3 linked regions of the Drosophila melanogaster genome follow. The protein of the gene in region 1 interacts with the protein of each later gene in a pairwise test. Each region holds a gene or a part of one and is shown in the gene's direction. Other genes may lie near its edges.

What was found.
Region 2: the proteins of yuri (region 1) and IP3K2 interact in a two-hybrid assay, tested with the Drosophila melanogaster proteins (one large-scale study listed by BioGRID).
Region 3: the proteins of yuri (region 1) and CG14684 interact in a two-hybrid assay, tested with the Drosophila melanogaster proteins (one large-scale study listed by BioGRID).

What each region holds. Positions count from the first base shown.
Region 1 is NT_033779.5:15,258,188-15,268,822, reverse strand, and holds the start of yuri (yuri gagarin), read left to right. Parts: upstream 1-4,595; 5' UTR 4,596-4,696; coding exon 4,697-5,053; intron 5,054-5,158; coding exon 5,159-5,491; coding exon of another isoform or gene 5,492-5,584; exon of another isoform or gene 5,585-5,656; intron 5,657-5,694; coding exon 5,695-5,853; intron 5,854-6,020; exon of another isoform or gene 6,021-6,196; coding exon 6,197-6,448; intron 6,449-6,518; coding exon 6,519-6,753; intron 6,754-6,810; coding exon 6,811-6,911; intron 6,912-6,982; coding exon 6,983-7,105; intron 7,106-7,185; coding exon of another isoform or gene 7,186-7,362; exon of another isoform or gene 7,363-7,614; intron 7,615-9,079; exon of another isoform or gene 9,080-9,469; coding exon of another isoform or gene 9,470-9,472; intron 9,473-9,531; coding exon of another isoform or gene 9,532-9,804; intron 9,805-9,884; coding exon 9,885-10,041; intron 10,042-10,113; coding exon 10,114-10,319; intron 10,320-10,381; coding exon 10,382-10,635. Other genes in the region: Cul3 (cullin 3), read left to right, coding at 1-2, 66-827, 890-1,060, 1,123-1,293, 1,356-1,470, 1,536-1,678, 1,804-2,027, 2,089-2,227 and 1 more.
Region 2 is NC_004354.4:13,301,686-13,309,333, forward strand, and holds the start of IP3K2 (inositol 1,4,5-triphosphate kinase 2), read left to right. Parts: upstream 1-3,829; 5' UTR 3,830-4,194; coding exon 4,195-5,262; exon of another isoform or gene 5,263-6,319; intron 6,320-7,648.
Region 3 is NT_033777.3:10,703,329-10,708,779, forward strand, and holds CG14684 (uncharacterized protein), read left to right. Parts: upstream 1-3,645; 5' UTR 3,646-3,674; coding exon 3,675-4,055; 3' UTR 4,056-4,132; downstream 4,133-5,451. Other genes in the region: CG31391 (uncharacterized protein), read right to left, coding at 219-1,661; CG31467 (uncharacterized protein), read right to left, coding at 1,964-3,406; CG31278 (uncharacterized protein), read right to left, coding at 4,147-4,458, 4,530-4,934; CG31373 (uncharacterized protein), read right to left, coding at 5,259-5,451.

The sequences.
Region 1 (10,635 bases):
AGGTAGGAATATCTTTATTGCATTTATTCCGTTGGAAATATATTTATCGCTTTTTCCATTACCAGGTGGTTCGCTATTCTGAGATTCAAAAGGCCCTGCGAGAGAAGTTGCTGGGCATGGTGATGGAGGAACGTCATGGCGAAGCCATTAACCATCTGGCTATCAAGAATGCTTGCAGTATGCTGATCACCCTGGGGATTAACTCGCGCACTGTCTACGAAGAGGACTTTGAAAAGCCCTTCCTTGCGCAATCGGCGGCGTTTTACAAATTCGAGTCGCAGAACTTTCTTGCCGAGAACAACGCTGGCGTTTACATCAAGAAAGTGGAAGCGCGCATCACGGAGGAATCTTCCCGGGCAGCGCTGTATCTCGATAAGGATACGGAGCCCCGCATTGTGCGCGTGGTCGAAGAAGAGCTGATCAAAAAGCACATGCGACCCATTGTTGAAATGGAGAACTCGGGCGTGGTGTACATGATCAAGAACTCAAAGACCGAGGATCTGGCCTGCACATATAAGCTTTTCTCGCGCCTGAAGGAGGAGGGTCTCAAGGTGATAGCGGACACAATGTCGGCATATCTGCGAGAGCAAGGACGCATGCTGGTTAAGGAAGAAGAAAACGGCAACACGAATCCCATAACATTCGTGCAGAACTTGCTGGATCTCAAGGACCGCTTCGACCAGTTTCTGGTGCACTCGTTCGCCAACGATCGCATATTCAAAAACGTCATCTCATCCGATTTTGAACATTTCTTGAACCTAAATAACAAATCCCCGGAGTATCTATCGCTATTCATCGATGACAAACTGAAAAAGGGTGGCAAGGGAGTGAGTTGAATTTACAATATGCTTTCTGAAATGTATTAATAATGTGTATTACTTTTCCACAGATGAGCGAACAGGAAATTGAGTCCATCTTGGATAAGACAATGGTTCTCTTCCGTTTCCTATTGGAGAAAGATGTCTTTGAGCGCTATTACAAGACGCATTTAGCCAAGAGATTGCTGCTGAACAAATCAGTCTCTGATGATTTCGAGAAGAATATGATATCAAAACTAAAGGTAGGTCAAGTTACTTGGTATCTTAGCATAATTATTTATCGCTTTAATCTCTATTATTGCAGACTGAATGCGGCTGTCAATTCACCTCGAAGCTAGAGGGCATGTTTAAAGATATGTCAGTCTCCAATACGATCATGGATGAGTTTAAGAACTTTGTAAATAATAACAATTTATCCCTTGGCGGTGTGGAGCTAACGGTACGCATACTAACCACTGGTTTTTGGCCCACACAGGTAAGCTTAAATTGTTCCATAATTATGTGAATAGGTTAACTTATCTTCAATTTCCGTAACAGACAGCAACTCCGAACTGCAATATACCCGCCGCTCCGCGTGAAGCCTTTGACATTTTCAAGAACTTCTATCTAAATAAGCACTCAGGACGTCAATTGACGTTACAGCCACAAATGGGTTAGCTACTTAAATGATCTTCTTTTTTAAGCAACTACTGTATTTATGCCTTCCCCTTCGAATAGGAACCGCCTATATCAACGCTGTGTTTTATGGCCGCAAGGCAGTTGAAAGTGAAAAGGATAAAGATGCACCCAGCTCCAGTTCAAGCGGCTGTGGGGTGCCCACCACCACACGCAAGCACATATTGCAAGTGTCCACGTACCAGGTAAGCTAAAATATCTTTTAGTTCGTACACCTCCGAATTTTATTTAGCAGAAGCAGCTTTATTTCATTGATCTGAAAAAAATATTTAACTAAACATTTAACATGTATTTCATAATCCAAAATTAGATGTGTGTGCTACTGCTGTTTAATAACCGCGACGTGCTCACCTACGATGACATACACCAGGAGACCGATATACCGGAACGGGAGCTCGTCCGAGCACTACAATCGTTGTCCATGGGCAAACCCGCTCAGCGTTTGTTAGTACGCAATTCTAAAACGAAAACTAAGGACATTGAGCCCACGGATGAGTTTTACGTAAACGACGCCTTCAACTCCAAGTTCCACAGGTTAGATATTACTTTCAGTGCGAAAGAACGGCGCCTGGTAATAATATCGAAACTATTTTAGGGTGAAGATACAAACGGTAGCCGCCAAGGGAGAATCAGAGCCAGAGCGTAAGGAAACGCGCGGAAAGGTCGACGAGGATCGTAAGCACGAGATCGAAGCGGCTATTGTGCGCATAATGAAGGCCCGCAAGCGTCTGGCTGTAAGTATTATACGTTTGCTATCTGGTTGGATTGTGATTTAACCATGATTCCTGTTTTTATTTTCTTAGCACAACTTGCTAGTATCAGATGTGACGTCGCAGCTAAAGTCGCGTTTCTTGCCCTCGCCCGTGTTTATCAAAAAGCGCATTGAGGGCCTAATCGAGCGCGAGTATCTGCAACGATCGCCGGAAGATCGCAAAGTGTACAACTACTTGGCCTAAGCGGCCCACAAAAAGTAGCAGGAGCGTCTTAAGCAGGATCCGGAACACACTCATCTTCAAATCGCCAGGGCTTGCACACTAACTGAAAAACACAATCTGCAGCTCGGACGGAATGGCCTGAGCATACGAGCGGCATTGATATGGCGGATACTGACCACGATTATAGATGACCGCCAGCCAATAACCCGAATACATAAATATATCAATTAGTGCGCCCCGAATCGTAAAATTTCGTTTCGCAACCCATTTTGTAAGCCTGACATTCAAAATTCAACAGTTAAAAATGCTATTGGATAAGGCACCACCATAATTATTATCCCTCTAATATATTTCTTGATATTCTCTAATTACTGTTTATGGTCATTTCTTTGCGCATAACAAGTGTATAGCAGTAAGCCCAAACAACCACATACACACCTGCTCCACCACCACCCCATTCAGAGCCACAACCACACACACCACATCCACCCACAAGAATCGTACGCAAAGCAAGATAAGAGAAATAATGCATAATGCAGCCCCTAATTGTAAGCAGCTGAGTAAAAAGGTAAAGAAGCAACAACAGAAATATAAGCAAGAAAATATTAATAACTATAAATATAGCTAAAGTAATAAATTTATAAATGAATTATGAATTTTAGAGAGCGTTTGATGTACATTTATACGTCGTCTGTTTCAATCCAAATAAAAACATTCATCCCACGTTTTGAGATGCGTGTGAACAGAACGTAAGGATTGCAATGACTATTCATATTCCTCTATCTTCATTTTTTGTGTACGCCCAAAGCAACGTGAAGTGATTATGATAATCTGTACGAAAAAGTTGTTTTATCTATTAGTTGATATGTGGGAATCGATTCCAGGCATATGTAGGCAACACTTCTGTAATGGATTTGAGTTAAGTAGGACACACATAGAATTGATTTTGAAAAACAATTTAACGCCGAACCGAAAGCACGAAAACGGAAGCAAGCAAACGCGATCTAAACACTGTAAATAAATTTTGTTCTTACATAAAAGAGAAATCGATATAAATAAAACGTATAATGAGCGTTAACACAGTTGTTGTCTATCTTTTAAAAGGATTTTAAAATATTTTCAATGAAATGCTTTTATTCGCCTGTACAATAAAACGAACTTGGTAACAATTTAAATCTGCAAAAAATCTACTGTTTTCAATTGGTGCCCAACATATTGTGCTAATCGTGTAAAATTTGGGATGGGCAATAAGACTTAAGGATTGGCATAATCATTCTCTGAATCATTCGAAATTTTTTAGTTCTTAATCTTTAAAATTCATGGTTTTTGCAGCTTTTTTCCAGCTATTGTGTAACCGCGTTGAACGACCATATCGGAGTTATCAATGCGACCAAACAAACTTATCCATGGGCAAATATACACCGGATGAGTTAACAATTATACGAAATTGGCAGAACCCCGAAACCGCAACTTGGGCAAACAGCGATGACTTTCGCATATTGTGTAAGATACATACATACATATGTATATCGTGAGCCCGGCCAGAAATTCAGAATGCTAAGTTCTTGGGTAAACACACGCAGCGATCCAATTCGATTCCCCGACGCACTGATAAGCGCTGAGAGTCCGTCGAGTTTTTCAACTCTCTAGAGAGCCGCTCTTGGCCGGTGGTGGTGGGGAGCGAGTGTGTGGAGCGGAGCGCTCAGTTCGGTTTCGTTGGCGATCGCGAACGGAGCGCAGACGAAACGCGCGGTATTTGGATCGTGGCAAGAAATAAAAACAACAACATGCTGAAACCGTATACTTAATACGCGTGTGTGTAGCTCAAAAACAAGAAAAATATAAATAAACAAAACTACATTGCTACGTCAGAAGACTGCAAACAAAAGATATGAACGCAGCGCGCTGAGCTGCTCTTGACGTCGCCGCCAAGGTTCGAATCAGATATATTTTCTCTATTTTTTATTTTTTTTTCCGCCCATTTTTGTGTTGTTTTTAATAAGCTTACAACTTTACAAGTGTTTTTTGTTGTGATTTTTGTACTTTCGTGAGTGATTTGTGATTTGCGATTTGCGTGCAGTTGAAGGCGAGGAGAACTGCATTCGATCTTTCCGATCAGCAGTGCCTTGAGATTGCCGCTTTCGAAGTGAACGTTTCGATGTAGAAACCTTAAAGTCATACTCATGTCTAATTACACAAGCTATTCCCTGGCCGACTAAATCAGCTCTTAGTAAGAAGAACGTGGTAATTACATTTTGAATTGATATCATGGCCAGTCGCCAAGCCGGTTTCGTCCTAGACGCCAAGTCCATGGGTCTGAATCCGTCGAGACCTGCATCATCGCCACCGCCACCACCATCATCTGCCAGTCAAATGTGTCGGCAAGTGCAGCCAACCGGAACGAGTGCCTCGCATCCACATCAAGAATCGACGCTAAAAGCCTCATCTCCTGATCGGTGCACTGCCAGCACCGAGGCGATGTCCACCGAACATTACCGCTGTCTGATCCAGAAGCTGCGGGATACCAACGGCGATGCTGGCGATATGAGCTTTGAGCTGAACAGCATATTTCTGAAGCGGCTGGACGAGATTGACTGCCTAGATGAGCACGAGGGTGATGACATGGTGAGATTCGTTGTAAATCAAGGATGGTATCCATTGAAACTAATTCCTAGCAAAATCCCCCTTGAGATAAATTATTTTATATGACCCATTTTCATACCCTTTTAGCACACTTGCCAGTTGCGTCTGGTCACTTTTCAGGAGTGGGTGGATTTCCTGCTCCACGTGAACAGCGTGATCCTGGGCAACGTGTCGGACTTGGAGAAGGAGGCGTACAGCAAGATCGTTGCCTGCTGTCAGTCTGTCCAAGTGCGACAACAGCATACCCTCGAGGAGAATCGTAGGCTGCGTGAGGACATTTGTGCGATCATAGAACGCGTGCAGCATTCTCCTCACTGCACCGACTTTGATTTCAATGGCATTTCCCTAGAGACACTGACCGTTAATCAATTGCGGGGCGTGGGAAAGGATCCCGCCCACGCGGAATGCGAGAGCGAGAAGGTAGGCCATAGATCCTTGAAGGGAAAAGGCGGCGGTGATTCCAATGTCAAGTGGGACCCGAAGTCGTCCCACAAGCGCGAGAACTCTAAATGATTGTCTCGCTAACTAAATACGTATATTTTGTGCTGCTCTTAATAAAATTTGATATTTTGTTCATCGATATTTAATGCTTGGCTTTGATTGGCGTTTAACTTTGTTCGCAGATGTCCGAGAGCATGAAGTCCTTAGTCGGCGAGATAGCCGCCAAGCATGACGAGATCGGCGAACTGAAGTCACAGATCAATGCCTTGGACGAGGTTGTACACACGGCCAGGCAGAAGTTACTTTTGAAGGATCAGTGCATAGCACAGCTCAATCAACAGGTGAGATATCCTATTGTGGCATTACTCAACCAGAAATCTGCATATGTGCATTGTGTGCTTATGGAAGGAATTTATTCAATTCGTTGTTTTAAAAACAAAAAACAAAAACATCATCGTCGTCAGGTGACGTTACTCATTATTGAGCTCAGTTTAATTATAGATTCATTGGAATACTTTTCTTATCGCTTAATCGGCTGCTTAAGCGTACAATCGAAAACCTAATCGAGTATCTTTTTAGTGAAATACCGAATTTCTTGGTAAAATTTTCAGTGTATTCAATCAAAAAGCACATCGAAACTTTCTAACTAGCTTTTTTTTAACATTCCAAATACCGTGAAAACAGCTGCACGAGATCACCCGGTGCATTGAGTCCAGAGATCAGGCCAAAATGGAGGAATCGCCCAACGATACACTGACCGCGGACGCGATTACAAGCGATATGCTCGAGAATCTCTCGATCCACGACACCCAGGAGAGCGAAATGCTGCGGCTGCTAAACGCGGAGCTCAATGATCTTCTCGATCTGCACAACAAACAGGAGTTCCAGACCATTGAGATTCGGCGAAAACGTGTGTCCTGCTTTATCGAAAAACTGGTGAGGGATTCGACTTACATATTTCTGAGCTTTAGCATATCCTCATTAATTACACCCTTCTTAATCAAAGGTATCCGAGCGTGAGGACACTCTGAAAAAACTCGAGAGCATTCGTAGTCATCTGACAATCCTTCAGTCAGACCTCGATCAATCCTGCCTAATCTCCGTTGATCCCGAATCAGGGCCCTGTGATCTGGACGCGGATGCTCAGATGCTGGAAGCTCTACGTAGACGCCTGCTCAACCTTAGCCAACTTAATCGAGAACTGCACGGAAAGTACCAGCGCCTGGACACCGAGTCGAAAAGTGGGTATATCCGATTCTCGATACTTTTGCTATAACTATTTCCCTATTTGCAAAAAGTCAAAATTTCAGAGCTGGAGGCGAGGATTGAATCGGAAAGCAGCGTTCTTCAAAGAAATAGCGATGTTCTAAGGGAGATCGCCGAACTCATCTGCTCGTTGGTGAGTTAAGACTCTTCTCTATTCTGCAGGATTGCAGGAAATGCATATTAAAAATATGTGCATCATTTCAGGGTTCCAAGGAGTTCTCCTACAACGAAATCTACGACGAATCCTCGAAAGAAAATCCATTTTGTACGACCATTGCGGATATGTTTGCACGGAAATTCGAGCAGGAGCAAAATCAAGTGGAAATTGTGAGTATCTGACGGCTTTGATTGCATCGCAAATAACCAATAGCCGATTCCAATAACCCCGGTTGTCATATCAAATGCAGGAATGCGATACGAAAACACCTTCCCAAACAAGGAAGCCAACCAAAACCACCAAAATCCCGGGAGCCACGGCAAAAACAAACAAACAACAACCAACACCTAAACCTTCAAACAAGCCAACGACAACTAAAACTATACCAACGAAAAACACAACTACAACGTTTAGGACCTCCAAGTAACTATGTCACTTGTTGGGCCTCCTAAACAGTTAGTCTAATCTAAGCCACGTTAAGAAGTTTGTATAGTTTAGCTTAAAGTTTGTCGTTCTTAAGTTATTTATCATCGCGATTGTTCGCCACGAAAACTCAACTCCACTCAAATCTATATCTATCTATATATGGTTAAACAGAAACTAGAATCACAGATTGCTGAAATGAATAGTTTTAATGAAATGAACTAGTTTTAAATAAAGTTTCTTTCATATCCCAACCAAATTATGAGCTTGAAATACATTTCCGATTTACGTTTCAGCACATAGAACTTTCTTCTTATGTGGTAAACGACATTCGCCTTCACATATATACTCGGTACAGTATATACTCGGTAAATCCTGGCTGGATTGACAAAAGAACTACTGTTGCCATTCGAGTCCCCGATTTATTTACCCATATATATATATATATGAATATATATATATTGGGCCCAGACACAAAAGAAAGAGATCCACTTCACTCATCCCGCCGGGCAAATGTCTACATACGACAAATACAAATCGTTCGCCAATGTGTTTATTGTGGAAACTCGGCTGTATGTTCAACTGCAATTGCCCCTGAGGGGGGAGCACCTTCTGCCCTCCAGCCAGTGGAGCTGGCGAATCGGAAATAGGTTTCGTGTTATTTATTTACCCACAATCGACACGCGATTCCGGCGAGCAGTGATATGCATATTGATGAGTGCCGCCGGGATTGGGACTTCACTGACTAGGACTGCTCGTGATCCGCGTGACTGCAAGGACCACGACCATTTACATCGATCTCGATCGTATGCACTAAGTAATTCATAATACCGAACCAACTTAAATTGAGCTCAGTGCAAATACAAATATTTAGTAATTACCTAAATAAATGTTTATTTAGATATGACTAATTCCCGAGGTGTGAACAATAAACAAAGTCGTCACCCCTCACGCCATCATCTCTTTGGCGAAACTGTCGGGCGCAAAATCAAACACAACTCGGCAGGAAGCCCCAGCAGGGGAGCAGTTCGCTTCAGAATCCTGTCATCCGTCGGCGGATTTGGCCGTTTAGTCGCGTGAAGCGAATCAAGGAAGCGCCAGGAATAACGCGCCAAATCCTCGCCAGCCAATTTACGAGGCGTAATTAGTCGCCTAAGTCGCGCTCCGTCGATTTGATTATCTTTTCGGCGCGAAAAACGAAAGGAAAATCGGGCAATTAGAAAGGAGAAAGTTGGCCAAAAGTGCAAATTGTTTTCGAGTGCTTTCGCAAAGAGGGACGCGAAGTGCAGTGAAGAAAGTTGGTGCTGCGAACCGTAAATGTGCAAATGGAGCCGATGGAAAAGCGAATTGTTGGGCTCCGCTAATGGGTTTAATGACAGACAAGGAATCATAAGAATTCATTGCCCCCGTCCCAATCGATTTTCACATTTCCCCGAGCCTGAGCTATCAATTTCGTAGTACTAACCCCCCGCCCCACCCACTGCAATATAATATGCCTTTAAAAGTGTTTTAAGTGCGCCGAGCCACGCTCGCCCAACTCCCCTCCACTCATCATTCATAAATATCCATATATCTATCGTATCCAAGAAATAGACAGACGATATAATACTATTCGCTGCCACCCGCTGCAACTAACTTTATTTTCAAATCGTGTCAAACAGTCGGGCCGCGCAAATAATAATATCTATAAAACTAGGGGAAGTCACCCCCCCCCCCCCCACTCAACCATCCTTCACCCCCCACCCCTTCAAGCACCCAACAAACTTGTGTGTTGCCAAAGTGCCAAAGAAGCGAAACTTTGAAACCGGAAACCCGAAACCTTGCCACCTCCTACGTTTCGAATTGGTTTTATTTTCGTGACAAACTTTTAATAGCAATATTATTGAAATGAAATGAAACGGTAATGAAGCCAAAATTCGTCTGGGGGTCATATTTGCGAGATATATTTGCAAGCTCGGCGGCACGAAGGCTCCATTTCTAGGCATTCGACACCGAAAACGATTTAAACACATAGATATGTACATCCGCGTATCTGCAATCGACAATTGACAACTGACAGGTGATTTCGTGCGCGGATTTGCAGGCAATTAGTTACCGATTTCCGAGTGGCCATGGTAAGCCTCGAGAATAGCGGTACCAACCAAGTGAGCCACAACTCAATTTGAATTTGTAGAACACAGGCAACAGCTCCACCGATTGCCCCCACCGCCAGCAGTTGGAGCACACGCTGCTCCACTGCCAGACCGAGTCGGATCTACTGCAGGCCACCCGGGATAATTACCTCAGCATCATCGATGAGTTCAAAAGGGATCTCGAGGAGCTGACCGAACAGGTGGAGCAGCAGCAGCAGCAGCTGCAGCAGAGCTCACTAGCCAGCCAATCCTGCCCAGAGCCCGAGCTCCATTTCGTCGATCAGTCACGGATCAACTGTGAACTGGAGATACAAGTTGGATCCACTAAAGCACACATTTACCAAATTGCTCCTAATCGTTTCTCTGATTTCTCGCCCACTTTTTTCCCCACCAGAACGGACAACTTTCCTGCCAAATCAAGGGACTGCAGGAAAATCTAAAGGATCGAGATAACCAGATTAGCCAGCTGCAGTCCATGATCAATAGCTACTCCGATTTCAGCGAGAACAATCGGCTCAAAGAAGAGATGCATGTCCTCAAACAGAAGAATTGTGAGAGAAAACTTATAATTTTCAATTAAAAGCTCTTTCTATATATATATATATATATATGTATACTATCAGGTGATCTATCCCGCCAACTGCGAGACCTCCCTTCCCTGCTGAAAAACCAAGAAAATCAAAGCGTGGAACTCTGCACGAAGTACGAAAGCCTGATGGCCAGCTTCGAGGATCAGTGCCAGGAGCTCAAGGACGCCAAGAGGAAAGCGCAGAGCCTGCAAACGCGACTGGATCAGGTGGAGCAGCTGCAGGATGAGCTGAGAACAGAGGTGGCGTATCCGACTATTGTCGTCCTTGGGCACAAAGAAAACTGAGGTATTATGAATTTCAGCGCAAAATCTTGCGAGAGGAGGTGGTCGCTTTGAAGGAGAAGGAGGCTGTGTCCTCGGGCCGAGAGCGGGCACTTCAAGATCAACAAAAGAGTGCCCAGTTGGAGATGGAAAAGATGCGCACTCTTGTTCGGAAAATGCAGAGCCATCTGCAGCTGGATGACATCCGGCATCGCGAAAGTATCCAGCGGATGAACGAGACAACTGAATCTCTGCGGGAGGAGTTGCGCACCATTTCGGAAAATTGCCAGCAAAT
Region 2 (7,648 bases), on another chromosome or scaffold:
ATTGCAAAATAATTACATTTGGCGTACGTGTCGTATGAGTAATATTTTTAAAATACGGCTTAATCTTGTTCAAGGCGATATTTTGTTTTGCTTCAATTAATTGTATAGCGCAATAAGACAGTAAGAGTTCGATTTTCTATTGTAGTGAAATTGTTTCATTTGAAAACTATATTACTCATACGCAATGTGCAACGAGGCGTATGAGTAATATTTCATTTCGGTTGAGCAGTTACTATTAGACTACCAATAATGGTTTTAAATAAGGTCTACTGATTGTGTCATGAAAATGCGGCACACTTTGAAGTATTTAACAGTTAAGTGATGCGATTTCTGATGAGATATATTAAAATGGGTTCAGACACTTTCAATTGATTGCATACATACACACTTTAAGTTGCGTATCAGAAAAAAAAGGCTTACCTGTTAGCTCTGGTCTTTGAGAGGTCTTGTGAGCTTTCCGAGCTTCGGATCCACAATTTCGGTCAGTGGGGCAAATTGATCGGGCGTTCCGGGGAGGGGCAATCGCCGAGCTGGCGAGAGTGCGAGAATGCAACTGGTCATTATCCTTCACTATTTTTATTAGCGCTTACCTATTTTCTGTGCTTTTTAAAAAATTTTTTTAAAATGTTTTTTGTTGTTGTCGTTGTTGTTGCTACCTGCGTCTCTCGTCAAATGCATTGACGTAATTGGCCGAGCGAAAAAACTTAGCCGTATATCGATCTCGATCGCAGGTGTGTTAACCTAAAGTGGTTTTGATTTCACAACCGCAGAAGAGCTGGGGGGTGTATTACTTTAAGCTGTTACCACGTCATTCCGCCAGTGCCTATCAGCGTCAGCAAACTAGCGTCCGTGCGTCTTGTCAGTCAACAAAAAATAATATATATAAAATATATAAAAAAAATTAAACCCATGAAAAAGGCCAAGCCACAACAACGCGCACAGAGCCAGAACAAAAAAAAAACAAAAAAACAAACCAACGACAAAAAATCACATAAAACAATAAAAAAAATGCATTTTTAATTGCCCCCTTGTTATTTATACCGCAAATGGTGGGCGGAGGGCGGCGGGAATCGTTGGGGGTGCGGCGGGGCGTTGAGTAATCACCGCGCCCTTGTCTACGCGGTAATCTGGCCCCCTCTCTCCCACCCTCTCTGCCATCTCGCCGTCTCTGTCTGGGCTGTTGCGTCTGCGTTGTTCGTCGACTACTGACGTCATATAGCCGCTGGCGTTTTGGACAAAGTGCGATGCCGCTCCGTGGGTCACCCATCACCCATCATCATCGTTATAAGCATTATACGGCCATCGTATCATCATCATCATCATCATCACCATTATCATCGTCATGGCACCGTGGAGTGGGTGGGCATTTCGAGTGAATCACGTGCTTATCATAAAGATTCCGAGCATACCAAAAAAATTCGTCCAGATAATGAGCGACGTATATATGTATATAGTCAATGAACCTGTTGATGGGAAATTGGGCTATCCTTTTTTTTCGTTTTTTTTTTTTTTTTAACTTGTGGAGAATTACGAAGAACAATTTGAATGCGGATGCGACTTACGGTTTTGTCACCTACTTGTATAACGTACGTATGTATATATAGGTATAGTAATTATTGCAACTCATAAAAAAAATTTTGCAATTTGCTACGGAATTTCTGCAACTACAATCAGTTTTGACGTAGGTCGTTGGTTTGCGGTTGAGCTATACAAATGTACTGACATATTTCGTCTTTCGTAAGTCATGTACGTAAATGGTTTTTGGTTTTTTATATTTTTTTTTTGTGTATAGCGGACTGTTCTCGGTTTTAATTTCGAAGAATTTAATCTGGGGTCGATTTCGTTTGGTTTTGTGTTTTGCAAAAAGTTGGTGTAAAGCGATAAAATGTTATTTGCGTCATTTGGTCTGATAGTTAACTATAAAAAGCAAGATGGGAACTTATTTATAAGCAGAAACATGAACACGATACGAACATGGGCAGAGCTATTTAATTTTGTTCATATTTCAACGGGAATTTTACAGCTTGTAATTGTTTACTAAAGACTGCTGCCAGTTTTAAACCATACAATTTAGTTTTTAATAAGTGCTTGTACTGCAAAATTTAATTATACCTTTTGTTTCGGTAAGCTTCATAAATCTGATCTTGAAAAACTAGTTAGTGCTTTAGTTGCTTTCCGGGAAAAGTTCTTAGTCAGCTGGGTTTTTTTTAATTCATTTTTTTTTTTTGGCGATAAATCACCGATTCGTCCCATTGTGCGTGACTGTGCGCTTGTAGTGGTGCTCGCAGAGTGCTTTATTGCATTGGGCTCGCATCGCCTGTCAGTCTGTCACTGTGTGTGCTGGTGTGCGTGCGCCTCTCTGTGTGTTCGCGCGTGTGTGTGTGTGTGCGACGTATCTGTGCCCGCTCAGTGCTCTGTGCTCAAATGCAATTTACAATTACGCGCGGCAATTGGAGCAGCTACCGTTGTGTGCGTGCGTACGTGCGGGATCATTGCACATTGCGTCAACGTTTCAAGATCACAATTACAATTACCCCGACGCAGTGGCAGTTGCAGTAGCACCAAAAAATCCATCTCAATTGCGAGAGAACCGAACAGTGGCAAAAGCAACCGAAAATTAAGTAAGGCACAGCAAATTTGTCGAAGAAAACTATCAACAATACAAGTAAATAAGAACGGCAGAACGGCCGCCCGCCCCCACAACAGCTGCTCTCCGTTGATGCGCCACTCCACTCCGCGGCTCAACGATTCTTCTATACAATTCTTCGAGCCTCCTCCCCTCGCCCATTCTCGCCCCACGAGACTCCCCTCCCCCCGCCCCCCACGCTGCTCTTCTCGATTCTTTTCGCCCCTCCCGCCGGCCCGCTGGAAAAAACGGGCAGAGCTGCAGAGCCGCAGAAAGCGATTTCAGTTCGGCGACGGCAGCGCACAGGTGCCATTCGGAAAGTGCGGACGTAGAATGTTTGCCGGGAATTCCAGTGGCATTTTCACCTATAGTTCCACTCGATTTTGCCTCGACGCCAGCGTTAGTAGCGCGTTTCGACGGAACACACAGATCGTTTTCCAACACCATAAGCACCATTTCACTTTTGAGTCTTTCCTTATCAGTCACTCCCAATCACTACCCAACCATCATCCACTACTCTTCACTAGTTTCTCTTTCTACTATCCTTTTTCTTATTATTCCCATCCTCCCTTTTAACTATCTTCACACACTCATTCTTAACGGAAATCTTCACTGTTTTTATGCTTTCTACTATCGTTCTATCCGCCAGCCTTTCACTTTTCACTCGCTTCTAACATTTACCATTCTAGCTATTTTTTTACCATCTCTTACCATTGAATTCTTTATATAAGCCTTAGTAAATTAGTATACAGAAAATAGTACGAATTTCCATTTTCCATTTTCTGCACTTTTTTCAACTTCTTCTGCTTACAACATCTTTCTTATCACCAATCCCATTACACTTTCTTGCATATTCCTATTTCATTTTTGCTGTTCTAACGAATCTCACACTTACTTCATTAGTCCCAACTCTTTGCTAACCTGGTGTATACATACCTTTACCCACCCCACCTCTACCCGCGATCCAGCCAATCCATCCATGTGAGATGAGTGCGTGCGACGGCGGTACGGGAACGGTTTCGCGAACGTCTGACGCCCCCGCTTTCCAATTCGATGTCATGCCAAAGATAACGACGTCGACGTCGACGTCGAAAGCGTCGGCAGCGAGGGCGAAAACGAAAACGACAGCAAAAGCAACAACAATTGGAAAAACAACAACGACGACAACGCGGAGAACGGTTAAAATTGAAAATAAATGGACGACGGCAGAGGCAACGGCGTTCAGTTATCAGCGGACAGCGGAGCAGATTGGAGCTAGTGCCCGAGCCAGAGCCAGAACCAAAGTAGCAGCTACAGTCAGAGCTAGAGCAAACCCAATTGCGGCCACATCCAATCAGCGAAGTGACATTGGTTATCCATGTGAGGTGGCATCCATCTCCGAGTTGGCCCTACGCAAGGCGCAGTTGAAAGCGCAATTTTTCGGCAATCAAGTGGGTGGATTAGCCCGCGATAGCGAGACAAGCAGCACCACTAGAATCACTCGCACCACCAACTACCGCAGTGCTTATCCCAGCTGCAAGACGGAACGAGGCAAGCCGGTGCAACAGCTAATCGATCAGTTCCAGGCCATGATTGTCCAGCAGCAGCAGCAGCAGCAGCTGAGCAACGAGGGCGAGCCCAAGACACTGCCCGGAGCCACTGCATCCAATTCGGATGAGGGCTGTAATGTCACCGGCGGCGGACTGAGTCCCTATAGCAGCGACAACGAGGATAACAGCCTATCGCCGAGGCAGCGCAAAATGAAGGTCACACGCTGTGCCAGTAGTGATTCCGCCCTGGGTCTGGACGTGGACGATGGCGGCATGGATGTGCCGTTGCCGCCACAACGTCGGATGACACTGACCGTAACGGATTTACCCCTGCGACCGGCCCTACTGCCACTGGCCGAACCCACAGCCCTGCCAGATTCGCCACTGACATCGCCCACCGGCGGTGGCAATCCGAGCGTGGGTGTGCCCACCAAGGTGCTGCTCGAGGAGCGAGTGGTAGCCGCACCGGGATCGCGACGTGAATCCACCCAGAGCTCGTACAGCGAACTGGGCGTCAGTGGACTGCCGCTGGGCGTGCGCTATGTGCGCACACCATCCGTCGTGGTTAGCGACTATTCGGATGACATAACCGCCTGCGGCATTAGCATGGAGGAAATGGAATACTTTCGTCTGCAGCGGGCGCGTGGTCAGCGGCGTTGTTCCCTGGAGGCGGGACATCACAGTCATAGCGGTGGACATGGCGCACATGGACACGGTGGATCGGGAGCGGCGGGAATGTCGCCGGGATGTGGCAAGGACGATGGCCAATCGGATGTCAGTGCAGCAAGCAGTTGCAGCAATCTCTACTATTGTGGATCCACCATTTCTGCCCTCGATGGTGGCGAGTGCATCGTGAATGGAGTTCGAGTTGCGCTCGCCAGGAAGAGCAGCACCCAGAGCAGCAGTCTCAGCGACGAGGAGGAGGAGGAGGAGGATGACGACGAGGATCGCGATGAGCAGGATCGCGATGAGGATGATCGCGATGCGGAGGAGATGCTTCAGGAGGATTACGAGCGGGGGGATCGCGAACGTGAGAGGGAGCGGCAGATCAGCGAACTAATGGCCGCCACGCAGCTTGGTGATCGTCAGCGGGATCGATCCAAGAAGGTAGGCGCCCGCGATGACGTCACAAACCAGGGAAATCTCAAACTAGACTAAAGAATTCGGGTTGGCAAAACGGACAAGTAACAAAGTGGAGCAGCCTAGTAAATTTAATATTAAACACTATTTTTTTTTTTTCGTTTTTAAATATCATTAATGATTGTTTGTGTTGTTGTTATCGAAAGCATAAAAGAGCAGTGAATGAGGGCAGGTCTGAATGGCAGCGAAAGAGATAAGCAAGTTGGTGCATATACACAGGGAGAAACGGGTGCTACGCGTAGATGAAATGTGGCATAATTAAAAAAAAAAAAAAACAATCTATTTTGCTCTAGAGCAGTATTATACCGTTTAGTTTATCAACTGCAAGACCATTATAACTATAGAAAAAGACTATAATAATAAGACTTTTACAATACGCATATCTATTAAATATAAAAAGAAAAAAAAAAACAAAGAAAATCCCTTGAACTACTGACTTGATAATGCGAATTACCACTAAGTTTCATCTTGTTTTAAAGATGATGAGATGATATATAGGCTCAAGAACGGTAATCCCGCGCCTTATCAGCTAATGGTTTTTCCACCTTGCATATGCAGGTCTTTTCTTTCAGTGTATGCGTTTGCTTAAAAGGCTATTAATTAATTAGAATTTTATCTTATCACTAAAATGAGGTTCTGTTACTCGGAGAAGTCTTTTTGTATTCTTCGCTTTTCGTTCGCTATAATAATTATCGTTTTTTTTTTTTTTTTTTTTTTTTTTTTGAGTGAATGAGAACGATATGATGGTGGTGATGTTGAAAAATAGGGGGTTCCTTGATAAAAAAAAAAAACAAGTATATATCTACGAAAATACGAAAACCTCGGATCCGTTGGTTTAATTCGTTTTTTTTTTCGTATCTAGAACTGCAAAACAAAACAACGGCAGCGATAGCGAGGAAAAGAGCTTATCTTAGTTAACTGTATACTGTATTATAGATAAATATTATGTACATATATAAGCCAGCACATATTTACGTTTATATAATGGCATCTTTTTTTTTTTGTGGTTTATTATTCCTTTTGTTGCTGTTGCTGTTGTCAGCAGACGGCGAAAAGTTTGTAAAGCAAATAAAAGTATTAGAAACCGAATTTTCGGAGTCATGATAACGATAATAAAGCAATTCACCTGGATATCTCATACATACATACATGTACATATGTGTATATGCAAGAGATATGGATATGTATGTTGTCTGATCGTATATGTATGTGTGCCAATGTGTGTTTGGTTAATAATGTTACGCGCTTATCAAGCGGGTTTATCTGCCTGGCATTCATATAGCAATATATGGTATATATGTATATATATACCCTCACCGCCGACAAAAGCAATAATTGGAGGCATCCCAGAAATGGCCTGTTGTTCTTCTACTTTTTTTTAAGCCACGGGCATGCGGCTTATATATGCTTAATACGATATACTATCTACTGTATAGTGTGGTTATATCTATGATGATCCCATCCGCCAGTCTAACACAATTGTATAAAGCTCTGTCTTACGGGTTGTTGTTTTTTTCTTTTATTTTTTTTTTTATTATTATTTTTTTTTCTTTGCGGTGGGATGAGTGATAAGCGATTTTGGGTGATATCACGCATACGTCATCGTTCCCATTAGGATTCGCATATATGTCTATATGACACACGAGCCCTCGTGTCGTTGGGGGATTACTCTATAAGTCCCGGGGATTGTGTTTATAAGCACAAAAAACACTGTTGATAAGAAAGTATCTCACAGAGATGGAGACATTTCTGCAAGCATAATGATAATATTGCACACTAAATGACGACTTGCTTGTATTTTTCTTGAAATACTTTTCAAACTATCTCAATATTAAGTCAAGTTTTTAGTCTATAAAAAAAAATGTCTGGAATTTTTGACCCAGTTAATGGTACATTGTAATTTCAGTTTTATCGCCACATTTGCATACACTTTTTATTCAGCCTCCAGTGCTCTGTAAAGATACACTTCAATTTGATTAGCATGTCATTACAAGTTCCTTCCCCATTTGAATACGATTCTTATTCAACTTCCGTCTTTGCCTGTTTTTTTTTTTTGTTTTTTTTTTTTTTTATGGGAATTGCCTTTGATTTGCCTTAGATTCCCTCGTGAATATGCTTAATAAAGCACATACGCAGTGATGTGACCTTGCTAAACGGCGGACCAACTTAATTTTAAGTGGAAAAACCATCTAGTTCTAGCATTTAGTTTATGAAATTGTTATTATTTTCCAGTTATTTTGCCCAGTCCAACTACTTGATGCCTATGAAATTCCAATGAACAGGTCATATATCAGGTATTCCTATCTAATTCCACGAAACGACCTCAAAAGTTTCATTCATATTTCGAGTCGTA
Region 3 (5,451 bases), on another chromosome or scaffold:
TTTTTACTTTTCAGAAGCTAAAGAATGGAAACGAAATATTTTTAGTTTTTATATATTTTCATGATATTATAAATGAATTTTTTTTTATATGTAGACAGGTTGGAAATATATAAATTACACGAATACCTATTTTTGGCCCTCAAAAGTAAGGTAGTATTCTTGCACAAAATCGCAACCAACAATGCATGATTTTTGCTGACTACTTTCAAGCCGACTTTTTAGGTACTTTGTCTTTTTCCAAAGTTCCCCTTCTTCACTGTGCTAACGTCACTCACACGAGGCGACTCAAAGTAGTCCACCTTTCGTATGTTAGACACTATCTTGAAGTAATTGGCAATGATCTTGTCCACTTCTTGTCCCTCATATGCGGTGGCCAATTCCTTTTCACATCGTGAGACTACGTTCGTGAGCAGACCTCCGGACCGAAAGAACGCTATGTTGATCTCCCGTTTGACCCACTTGCAGATATGTGAATGGGTGACTGGCTCGAAAAAGTGAAAGATCTCGTAAAAGTGCTCGTAACTCTCGCCAAATTTTCGCATTTCAAGTTCACCCAACTTGGGAATGTCCAGGTGGTTTCGTCTGATGATATGATATGGGTCGTATTGCTCCGAAAAGTTTGAGAACCGAACTGCTGGCCAGTCGAGGTTCAGAAGGGTGTTGTAGAGATTCTTCGGGTGGCCAAGGATTCCATGGGACAGATCAATCAAGCGGAGCTGCGATCCGGGCACAACGTACTCCAACTCGATCTGAGCGATGTGAGGATCAGTGCCCCTATACTTACGCTTTCCTATCCACAGAATGGGCAAATCCTCCGTCACAACATGCTCCAACTCTTGGACCAGCGGAGAGATCTGGACGCGATAATTGAGGTTCTTGTTGTTTCGGCCGTAAAGAAGACTTCGCTCCGCCTCCGTGAACTCAAGGTACTCAGGGCGGACGGAAACAAAGTGCTCCGACCGGAAAAGCCGATTCATCTCCATTTCGATGACGAAATACGCTCGGCGATGCATGCATATCCAGACTATTTGGATGGATACTGCCAGAAAATGCTCATGGAAGTACTTATCGTGGATAGTTGCTGAAATGTTGGAAATCGGCTTCATGTGGTAGTACTTGGCCATAGATCCCTCGCCCTTGATAATCTCACAGTAGTTTCGGGCTAATAGCATGCGGAAGTGGCTCAGGTAAACGGAATAGGTTTTCTTCATCTCAGTGGTCTGCTCGCTCTGAATTTGGGCCATCTGGCCAGAGAGTTCATCTCTGCGAATCAGGACGAACTCCACCAGGCGTAGGTAGTACTCAAAGTACAATGTTAAGGCGTGGAGCACGGACTGCACCTGTGGCTCATGCATGAATTCAATGAACTTGTAGGTTAGAAAGTCTTTAGGCATCAAGTAGAGCACCAGATCTCGAATATCTCTTAGCACCACTGTGTCACTGGTGTTGGACTTGGCGCGTACATACTCCTGCCGGAAGATAAGCTCCTCCTCTTGGTCGATGGTACGCAGGAACTTGTACCCATTGGTGATTATATAGCGCTCTCTTGCGTTTTCCAGATCGTTGTGCGCCTGAAAGTTGAGGCAGTCCTTCTCCGAGTCCCATGACCACTTGCCGCTGTAGTACTTTGGAGCGTAGTTATCGACATGGACTCTTTTCATCGTAGTCGCGCAGATAAACCAAGATCGGGTTGTGTTTAGTGTTTTTAAAGTGTATTTAAATTGATGTGTACGTGACGAAGTTTAGTGGAATTATGCTCATGTTTAAAGGCCTAAAGTGAAGTTTTATTCCCAAGCTCCCACCTACGAAACCCATACCCTTGATCGGATGCCAATGTCTTTCGTCTTCGTGCATTTATTATAAAATAGCAATCCATAAGTGTCAGTGCTTTAAAGCTCCGATTTTCTGTATATATAATAATATGCAAAAATTGCAATTAACGTATAAAATTAGGTAGTTTTTTTTACCGCTTTGCCTTGCCTACACTAAATCGCGATGCAATACTACTACGCGTAGATGATGCATGCTCCGGATCTCTATCCTCCTTGCGTATTTTGGACATGATCTTAAAATAGTTGGAGATGATCTGATCGACCCTTTGTCCTGAAGATGTGCTTGCCAACTCCTTTTCACAACGCGAGACTACGTTCGTGAGTAGACCTCCGGACCGAAAGAAGGCTATGTTGATGTCTCGTTTGACCCACTTGCAGATCTGATGGTGTGTGACCCGCTCATGAACCTTACAGAGCTTGTAGAAATGTTCATATTTCTCTTTCATTGTACGCATCTGAAGCTCACCTATCTTGGGTATTTGCAGGTGAGGTCTCCTGATTATATGGTACGGATCGAACTTTTCCGAGAAGTTTGAGAAGCGGACAGCCGGCCAGTCGAGACTAAGAAGCGTGTTGTAGAGGCTCTTGGGATGGCCCATGATGCCGTGCGATACATCTATAAAGCTGAGCTGCGAACCGGGCACAATGTACTCCAGCTCAATCTCGGCAATGCGGATATCGTTTCCTCTGTACTTGCGTTCGCCTATCCACAAAATGGGCAAATCCTCTTCAGGAACCAGCTTTAGCTCCTGGACTAGAGGCGATTCCTGAATTCGATAATTGTAGTTCTTTTTGTTTCTGCCGTAGAGAAGACTGCGCTCCGCCTCCGTGAACTCGAGGTATTCTGGGTGGGCGGAAACAAAGTGCTCGGAGCGGAAAAGGCGATTGATCTCCATTTCGATTACGTAATACGCCCGGCGATGCATACAGATCCAGACTATTTGGATGGCCACTGCCAGAAAATGCTCATGGAAAAACTTATCGTGGATTGTTGCTGAAATGTTGGAAATCGGCTTCATGTGGTAGTACTTGGACATATTATCCTCGCCCCCGATGATGCGGCAGTAGTTTCGTGCAACAAGCATACGATACTGGCTTAAGTATACCGAAAAGGTTCGTTTCATATCGTTGGTCTGCTCGCTCTGCACCTGACCCAGGGGACCGGAAAGCTCATCCCGACGTATAAGTATAAACTCGACCAGTCGCAAATAGTGCTCAAAGTATATAATCAGGGAGTGAAGCAACAAGTGCGTATCCCGCTCGTACATGAACTCAACGAACTTGTAGGTTAGAAATTCTGAAGGCATAAGGTAGAGAACCAAGTTTCTAATATCTCCGACCACCACAACGTCACTATAGTTGCTTTTCGGTAGCACATACTCCTGTCGGAAGATGAGCTCCTCCTCCTGGTCTATTGTGCGCAGGAACCTGTAGCCATTGGTCATAATATAGCGCTCTCTTGCGTTTTCCAGATCGTTGTGCGCCTGAAAGTGGAGGCAGTCTTTCTCCGAGTCCCATGACCACTTGCCGCTATAGTACTTTGGGGCGTAGTTATCCACATGAATGCGCTTCATTGCGTTTGGCAGTAAATAATGGTATAAATTTATAAAATCGTATTTTAGTCAAAAGCAGTGAAAAATCAGTGTCGTTACATTGAGAGTTAAATATTTATGTTCCTCAAAAAGACTGAAATTTAGATGCTGCAGCGACTCCGATTATTTAAAAGACCAAATACAATAATTTCCAAGGGCGTGATTTTTCTGTCAATCTGTATTCTCAGAATTTGTATTTTCCGGTACCACGCTGATTTAGGTGACCGGTGTTTCCCGGACTGTGCTAAGCATGTTCCGCCGCACTAATGCCGATCCGGTCATACGGCAATTTATTCTGCGCACTGCAGTCCTCAATTATCTTGGCAAGAGTCTGCGAGAGCAGTATAATGAATATTGCCTTTTGAGAACCCAGCACGAAAATATTAGGCTGAAGACTGCGAGTGATCAAGAGCTTGAGGACCTGCCGACTCTTTCCGAGCTATTTGAGATGCAACAGTTGAAGACGGCTGCCACCCATCGTCTGCTGATGCGGGAGTACCAAGAATTGCTTGCCTACATGATGGACAAGAGTGATTTGTGGGACAGTCAGGAGTACTTCAAGGCCAAGTCTGCGCTTGGGGCGGCCATCCACAATCTACGGGTTTGTGCACCCACCAAACCAATGGACTAAAACCAGTCGAGAGGAACATTTGCCAGATAGAATTCCATTCAATCAGTATATATACATACATAAATAGTGAAACGATCCACGAGCGACTTAACTACTTGTAGAAGGGTATCTCCACGCGTCCGGATTTCGTGTTAACCGCCTCCCAGCAGGTGCACGCAAAGGTTGAGCGGTCCATGTGATCGGTGTATAGTTTTCCCTCCAGGTGATCCATTTCGTGCTGCGCTATCCGGGCATTCCAACCACTCAGAGCCAGTTCGCTTTGGTTTCCTAGTTGGTCAAGGCCTGTTAGCTTTACACCTTCGAAACGCTCCACTTCGGCAGAGTAACCTCGCACACTCATGCATCCTTCTGGATGCTTCAGCTTCGCGTAGTTGGTCACCGTCAGGACGGGATTGATGAAAATCTGTAAGAAGCAAACCATTGTATTATAGGGTTTGGGCTTCCGAACACAGCTAGTTAGGACCCCAGTCTCACAGTCAGTGGCAACTCGGACATTTGTCGGGCTTGGTAAACGGCCTCGGGCAGCTCCTTTCGGATCCGTCCCTTGAACTCCATTGCTATGATCCTGAGCGATACTCCAATCTGAGGAGCCGCAATGCCGACGCAGTCGAACTTCCTTAGCACCTTGACCATCCGCTCGACGATGGCCTTAATCTCGGGGCTAGCCATGTGCTCCTTGGGCACCAAAGCCGCTTGTTGCCTAAGAACAGGGTCACCAATCTGGGTGAAATGGTTGTATGGCGGCAAGTTTGTGCGCTCCGTGGTCCACAGGTGCTGGTACCACTTCCTGAACGACTGATTAGCGGGAGGACTCGTTCCAAAGGATCGACAATGTCCCAGAATCGCTTGGCATACTTTTATCCGTGGTTTCAGGTGCATTTTGTGAAATGTTTAGCCTCCTTTAATATTCCGATCAAAATCGTAGGGAATATAGTTACACAACACGGTCATACTGGCCAGCTGACCGGCTAGGGATGTGAAAGTATGTACCTATCGATATATCGGTGGAAATAGATTTGATATTTGGCGCGCTTTTAAATATATGCTAGGTGCATAAAATACTTTTTCCCCGCACACAAAGTTTATTTCGTAAACAGCGCATTCATTTCAGAAGTGTATTTTATTTTCAAACAATATACAAATATGTTGTATAAAGCGCCATAAAAAAGTGAAAAGCTCCTTGAATTAAATGCAACCAAGTTATTACTTGTGAAACCAAATGGCGGATCGACCTTCAGCTGCGTTGATTTGCTCCCAGAGGATGCAGTTGAAGGTGGAGAGATCCATCCTATCCATGTAGATAGTTCCATTAAGGTGATCCACCTCGTGCTGGGCGATCCGTGCGTTCCAGCCCTCCAGTTCCATTTCCGACGGAGTGCCCAGCTTGCCGATCCCC